2 linked regions of the Lepisosteus oculatus genome follow. The main gene of each other region encodes a partner of the protein of the gene in region 2 in a complex. Links are inferred from orthologs where the notes say so. Each region holds a gene or a part of one and is shown on either strand. Other genes may lie near its edges.

What was found.
Region 1: the proteins of ranbp9 (region 2) and gid4 are in contact, whole or in part, in a cryo-EM structure (PDB 7NSC), measured with the Homo sapiens proteins. The link is inferred for Lepisosteus oculatus from reciprocal best matches to the Homo sapiens genes RANBP9 and GID4. Residues at the interface, in NP_005484.2 of Homo sapiens: Ser223, Lys224, Gly225, Arg226, Asp227, Gly228, Tyr229, Met230, Gly256, Asp257, Thr274, Phe275, Thr276, Thr277; in NP_076957.3 of Homo sapiens: Leu187, Arg189, Asp194, Glu195, Asn216, Asp218.

What each region holds. Positions count from the first base shown.
Region 1 is NC_090714.1:17,608,461-17,612,212, reverse strand, and holds the start of gid4 (glucose-induced degradation protein 4 homolog), read right to left. Parts: upstream 2,496-3,752; 5' UTR 2,321-2,495; coding exon 2,132-2,320; intron 789-2,131; coding exon 729-788; intron 1-728. Other genes in the region: atpaf2 (ATP synthase mitochondrial F1 complex assembly factor 2), read left to right, coding at 3,030-3,135, 3,367-3,411, 3,743-3,752.
Region 2 is NC_090701.1:20,160,451-20,164,202, reverse strand, and holds the start of ranbp9 (ran-binding protein 9), read right to left. Parts: upstream 2,187-3,752; 5' UTR 1,865-2,186; coding exon 1,648-1,864; intron 1-1,647. UniProt on the Homo sapiens protein: May act as scaffolding protein, and as adapter protein to couple membrane receptors to intracellular signaling pathways. Acts as a mediator of cell spreading and actin cytoskeleton rearrangement.

The sequences.
Region 1 (3,752 bases), on a different chromosome or scaffold from region 2:
ACTGATGGGGAAAAAAGAAACAGCTGTTGTCTTATGTCTTTCAGGTCAAAGACGGGTTGTCAATGAGCAATGGGGTTTAGCTACAAATATGCTTAAACAATTTGTTTTGTGATGAAGGGGCATCTTATAAAGCAACAATCCACTAATAGCTGAACTCAGAATCTCCCAACCAACTTCCAAATATTAGTTCAGCACACTGGATATTGCCCCAGTAATGGATCAGCCAAGTCCATATTCATTTAGCCTTCCAAAACTTCACCTCGATCTTAATACCAGCACCCCTCATATAGCAGCCAATACTCTCCTCTATGGGCTACTGATGCTCACAGAACACAGCCCCTCCTGGAACAGCAGCTCTTCCTCTGAACCACCCCACCGACAGGTGAGGTATGTTTAACAGCAAAAAAAGTCACCGTAAAAATGGAGCCCCAGTGAAAGGAACTGCACATCAATCAGATCTGAGTAAAACCCTGTATGGCAGAAGTCTGAATGAGAACAACTGCTGCTACTGAATAAATATAACCAAGGCTGCAAGTTCCAGATGACGCAGAAATGCAACCTTAACCCGCCAGAAATACTTATCAACTGTGAAAAAGAGAAAACCAGAGAACTGGCACAAGCGACAACAAAGGAAGCAGAAACGTGAAGGTACCAGCTCGGCAGGTGTAAATCTCCCTTCAAACTGAACACCACAACACTCCCGTGAGCCACAGCTGTCTGAATCTCACCTCTGTCAGTCCTTTGATCTTAAGGTACCCGCACAAGTACGAGTCTTCCATCGTAACGTGCTGTCAAGGCAAAAAATGACAATATCGTCATGACAGCCAGTTCGGAGCATTACAACACGGTCTCAGATTTGAACTACCTGACTAAACAGCGGCATTGTTTTTAAATATTTGAAGCATGAGTCAAACACTGTTTCAATGTGAATCATCGGGGCTCCAACAGTTCCAACTTCCATCGGAGTCTAATTACTGGTGCTCAGAACCTACATACCTAGTGAGGCAAGGAATGACAGGCCCTCACTGCAGCCCCTGCTGCTTCTGCAGACCTACTTTGTAATTGAGGCTAAAAATCCAGTTTTTCTAAGCCAAGTGTGACACTTGAGACAATTTTAATTAACCCAGCTTCCGACACTAAAAACCCTTCCTCTGAGAGTGACTGCACAAGAAGAAAAGTGTATAATTTACCTTCAGCAGCACACATTTCACAAATTGATGTGTTGCAATATCATGTGCGCATGTTGTAGAGGAATGGTGAGCTTTAATAATAATAATGCAAACAGGTAAAGGTTTATTCCCCGCTGAAAACCGAAGAAAAGAAACAATGTTTCGGCCGTGGAGCCTTCTTCGGGTGACACCTGAAAAAGGCTGCACAGCCGAAACGTTGTGTTTCTTTTCTTCCTCTTCAGCATGGAATAAACCTTTACCTGTTCCTTTGCAGCCTACGCATGCTGAGCTGACGCAGCTATTATTAAAGTAGTTCAAGTAGGTAATGTGACTGAAATGCCACATCATTGCCGGGCAAAATACAAGCACCTTTGCTGGACCAGTTTCACAGAGTTCATTTTAACCTCCTATAAAACTCTCACAGTCCGAGGTACACTTTGTATGTGACAAGGATCACGTCATTTACAGCGCAGGTCTGGCTGCTGTGACGACTATGAAGAGGGCAACTGAGGATCTGGATGTCTTCAGTGACTGTTGTGCTTTTGGTACCAAGCCTAACCTGAAAAGCATAAGCCTTAGAACCTCCAATATTGTTGTATTTAACACTTATAAATTATTTTAAGTCAAACAACACAGTCCTAGGAGGTTAGAAATTGCTACAGTCGACTTTTTACTGGGGCTGTTCGAGCTAAGAAGAAGTTCTCAATAAAACTGAAACAGTGAAAGATTGAAAACAAAAACACCACAATCCACCTCGATAACACCACAGGGATAAGAACGATTTCAACACAACTTAATGTGAGATTGATCTCAACTGAGAAACGCGTCTACAAGTTTTTAGTTAATCACCTCCCCAGTGATATTAATACGTCTATGATAATATTACGTCGTTTTACTGGCCAGATTGTATGTTAGTCGATGACACTAGGCTCCGGTATAAATACTCTTCGTTTCTTACTTACCTGCAAAACAACCTCGACATCGTACGAATTCCCTTTGCTCTTCTGGTGTCCGCGGAACTTGGAGCCGCTGTACAGGAGCGAGGTGGCGACACCCGGCTGCTGCGTGTTGATTGGGGGAGGCGGGATAAGCGAGGCCGAGGCTATAAAGGCCGCACAGGCGGTACTGCAGCACTCGGTCCGGACCGGCATGTTTATCACGTCTGAAGGTCGCCCCAGCTATGGCCGACGTACGCCACAGAGACGGTAACAAAAAGGGGACAGGGGGAGAACTGTCGAGGCGGCTCACCGACTCACGAATTCTCCCCAGCCGCCGAGAGATGCGCTACCAGGGTCCCAGCAAACAGTAGGGACCTCAACGCAGCACCACGCAGCAACATCCCGCCAGCCTATTGGCCAGGGGAGCGCACCTGGCAAAGAAACCGCCGCTCATTGGATGGCCTTCTGAAATGCATTTTGGGACTTGTAGGTCTTCTAGCCCCGATCTGTAGTTTTTCCTCCGTTCTCCCGCAGTCGAACTCCACCTCCCATAACCCACCTCAGTGACCTTCGGACTGTTTCCGCCCCGTTCCTCAGGTTTCCCAGCGGCCATTGGAGAGCGTGTCCGAGGAGCAGTGACGCGCTTGAGGTCACTGACATGGCGGCGCCCATGCGGTTGAGCAGGTTATGACTGACCCTGGGAATGCGATTCTTTAAAGGGGAACACGTCCAAAAACACCATTAAAATATATGTGTATTGATTGCCGGGTAACTAGGATTCGATAATGCAGTGTGATAATGCATAATTTAATCAAGTGTCATAAGTCCCTATGACATGCTTTAATGCTTTGGTTACCCTGCAAAAGCGCATGAAATCGATTTGAGGTCGTGATTCCCGAAATAAGAAGAATCTGTCAGAGAGATGTTGCGGGGTCTGGCCCGGTTGTGCAGGAGAGGCGGCACCGCTGTCCAGTCACCGTGCGGCTGTGTCGCTGCAAGCTCGCCGGCATACTCTACTGCGACCCCGGGTAAGAGCCGGGTTCTGCCCGGCGTGTGGGAACTCGTGTCGCTTTGTTAGTCAATCGCTGATTCCGATGTAATTGCACAACAAGCTGGATGCCCGTAATGCGGCAAATGTATTCTTGTGTTCCGTTCTTACACAACCATGGTGACGTCTCTAGGTTAGATCATGAAAATACATTCTCTCTGTTTTTAATTGCCCGGTTCAATCAGATATTCGTATTTGCTTGTATCCACAGGGAGGAAGAAGTTCTACCAGGACGTCAGTATTTCACAAGGACAAGGTGCGGTATGAAACACATCCTGTTTTTTTCCTGAGGTAGACTGTAACAGATAACAGTTTTGTTTTAATATTGTGTCTCCTTTTTGTATTTATGACGATTCAATAAAAACTAAAAAAGAAAGAAAGAAACGACAGCAAGCCGTTTGGCTGATCTTGCCCGTCTCCAGCAGAGCTGTATTTGTCTTGTATTTTGTATTGTTCTGCAAGTGGATAAGTGTGTGAAACAGTGTCTCAGTGCTCCGCTGTGGTGAGGAATGTGCAGACGAGGTCCGGATCGGCTCAGGCTGAGTGATGTGCCGTGCTGTTCAGCGCCCGGTCTCCTGCGCCTGCAGGTGGGCTGTT
Region 2 (3,752 bases):
AATCTTCTGTACTTCCTATCACTTAAATGGCCCAGGTATTTTGCTAACTAGTCATTTTTAAAAATATTTTCAAGTCTCAAAACACTTCATAGCTACTGTATATTAAATTAAAGGCTGGCCCTTGCCATGTATTATTTTAAAATATGCATAAAATAAGTATTAAAAAAACAACTGAATAATGTTCAATGTGAGAAAATAAACAGATTACCGAATTAAAGGATTCAAATGGATTACAGAAGGAGCAAGCCCCCAAGTTCGATACCCTAGCCATAAAATCTACATTCTCACAAATCCTTGGGGGATAGTATCACCCCTTCCTCCCCAAGTCTGTAAAAAATATAGAATATCTGTGTTTTTTAGAGAAAAAAATAACTACATCAAAGACAAACGAAAATTAAGCAACACCTGTTAACAATCAGAAGACTTATAAGAAGAGGGGTTATTTATAGCATCTGTGTGCTCTCAGTGAAATTGATAGGCTGCTTCTTGTGTTCACAGTAACAATAAGAGCCACTCTGGTCAGCTTTATTCATCTCAGAGGACTATGCATGAGAAAATTCACACACTCTGGTCTCTCTTCCTGTTGTTTCAAGGCCTAGTGCAGCTCTTAACACTCATGTAACACCCAACATCCTTAACAATACAGTTCATTGTACAACCCTTAGCACTGCTCTGCTGTGTGTACTCTCTCCAAACCGTCCTGAGAACCACTTAGTACATCGTCTGTGGTTTTCTGGTTAAAAGCAAGACAATAAATTCTCATGAGAACACAATGTCTAGTTTGACACTTTTGAACAGATCAACCACACATGTATTATGATAATCCTTCTATTCGGGAAATGTGTGTATATTACGAACGAACAGTAGTTACACATGTGTACAGGCCTGTCCAACTGTCTCATAAACTGCGGCAAATGCAGGACAACTGAAGATGCTTAAAAATAATCGGTTTGACAATAAAGTGTTCTAGGGCAGACACCATATGTATATTTTTTGAACAGAACAAATATCAGACTCCTTCTGAACATCTGAACTTAGATACAGTCTCTGCGCAGTCCTCTCCCAGCTGTTTCGCTGGCTTTGTTCATGTTTATGTAACTAATCCTGAAAAACTGGGTTGAGCAATCTTGCTCTGCGTCTTACGGCAAGTACAGTAGTCGGTAGCTAAAGAACCATCCCGTATTTGTTTTTCCTCTACGGCCCAGAGTTCATTGTAATATATGAGCAACAGGAAAACCCGATCTATAGGTTTTTTTTTTAGATCACCACTCGACAACTGATCGAAAAAAAGTAAAAATATATGATAACACCAAATAATGTCGTATCACATTTTGTTTATATATATATTACACATAGCACAGTAACAACGAGCCAAAGCTGCCGTGACATTTAAAATAACACGGGTTATTTTACAACGATCGCAGTCACTATTTCGTTGCTGTTCAGGCCTGCACCAAAGATGTCTCGGCTTGTTAGCTATAGACTACAGAGGCCGCGTCTTTGTACCCCTTCCTGATGCGGGGATTGCTTGTTTTTTATTAGCATTTTTCTTTGTCGGTGGGTATTAAATCTTTGCCTGGGGTACGCTTGGAAAGTACACGTTTGTTGGAAGACACGTCACTCTCGCAGCCCCCCTCCCCTCCGTACCTTTGTAATGCACCCGGAGATTGTTCTGGGAGAGACCGATGTAGCTGAACTTGTCCTTGGGGCTCCAGGATCGGGGCAGCGGGGTCTCCTGCTCGTTCACCGCCGGATACAGCCGCCTGAGCCGCTGGTTCAGCTCCCTTTCCTGCTCGTTGAGCGCTGAGTCCCCATGAACCACAACCGACATCAGAAACCCACAGCCCGATGACTGCCCGGACATGGCGATCGGGATTGTTTTTGTCTATTAAAAAAATACTAAATAACTACAATAACAACTACAACAATAAATTAATTTTTACTAAATGCCGCAAGAAGGAGGGAAAAGGGCTACTAGTTTAAAACAAAGCAAATAATCTGACGGACACAATTAAAACCAGACATGGACAGATAGCTCTTTTGTTTGTTGTTAGTGCATGATCCCCAGATCTGATTGGAGCCCACAAGCTCCGGTCAAACTAAAAAAACACACTTCTCCCTCTGCCAGGCGCGACTAATCAATGCTCCACTGCGCGATCCCCCCTTCCCCCCTATTTTTGAAGAAAATAGTCGAGAAGCAGAACAGACATAAGTAGCAGATTTAAATAAAATATATTATTATTCCTCAAATTAAATTACAGTGCATTGATAAATTCAGAAGTGACATTGAAACGAATGCTTACTAACAGTACAATATTAATCTTTGTCGTCATCAACATCATCATCACATAATTCATCATAATTAGGTTGTAATAACGAGGAGGTTATTTTATATCACTATTGTATAATGCGTGTGATTTGAAAACTAAAATGTGGTTACACTAAATCTTCTACTTAGCACCGTCGTTGCAATTTCAGTGCAAAAGGTTCCAGTCCAAAACCAGCAGGGAGAGATACATTACAGCAACAGTTTTAAAGATACAGTTTACATTCTTCTAGCAATTTAATGAAAATTTAGAGAGTGAACTGGTGAGCATTTTAAACCAACATCATTTGACACCAACTGCAATCTCCACTAGGGAGAAACAGAAATAATTGAAGGTTGTTTTCACTGACCACCATCTGGGTTTAAGAGCAACACTAGTTTCAGTTCAATATACAGTATTAGATATATCACAAAACTGTATGTATATATGCAGTTTTATTGTTTTTCATAAACAGACCTTCCATTACTCCAAGCAGCTTAAGGTATAGCATGATTTATGTACACATACATATATTTTTATATTTTTAAATAGATTCGACAAAATGTACAGTATGTGTACAGTGGCTTGCAAATTTATTCAGACTCTTAACAACTTTTCAAAGGGTGCTGGATCACAAATAATACACATCTTCTTCAATCAACATTTTTATTGCACACTCACATGCTCAAAAACAATTTACTTCAAATTTGTTTAGAAATTTCAGCAGATATCTCAAAGCGAGACAAAAACTGAACTATGCTGCTTGCATAAGTATTCAGACCCCACACATTAATATTTGGTGGAGCCACCATAGGCCACCTTAAGTCATTTGGGGTAGATGTCTAACAGCTTTGCACACTGATTAGACCTGATGTTCTCCCATTCCTCTTGGCAGATTGGTTGTAGCTCATTCAGGTTTATTGGATAGTGCTTGTGGACCACAACTTTCAAATCATACCATAGATTTTCCATGGAGTTTAGGTCAGGACTTTGAGCCACTCGAGGACATAAGATTTTTATTCTTGATCCACTCCAATGTTGCTCCAATGTCCTTTACAGCTTTTCAAATGTTGCTGGATTACAAATGATACACACACGCCTTCTTTCCTATCAGAAGTTATGTGTTAGGGGCACTGTATATATATGATATACATCAAGTGGAGAACTGCATCAGTGTGTGTTGGCTGCAAAGGAACAAGTAAAGGTCAATTCCACACTGAAAAATAGAAATACAACTTTTTGGCTGTTGATCCTTTTTCTTTTGACTCGCAAATGAAGATGGCTCAACAGGAGAAACACTGTATTTTGTTTTCCTATTTTATTTGTTCTTATTAAAATACATCTGCATCTTTCCGAGCTGAAAAAGAAATGTTCAAATAATTCTATCAACTAAGTAAGGGCTTATAACAGAAGCCAGAAGGTGCTTCAGCCTTGAGGAAATTGAGT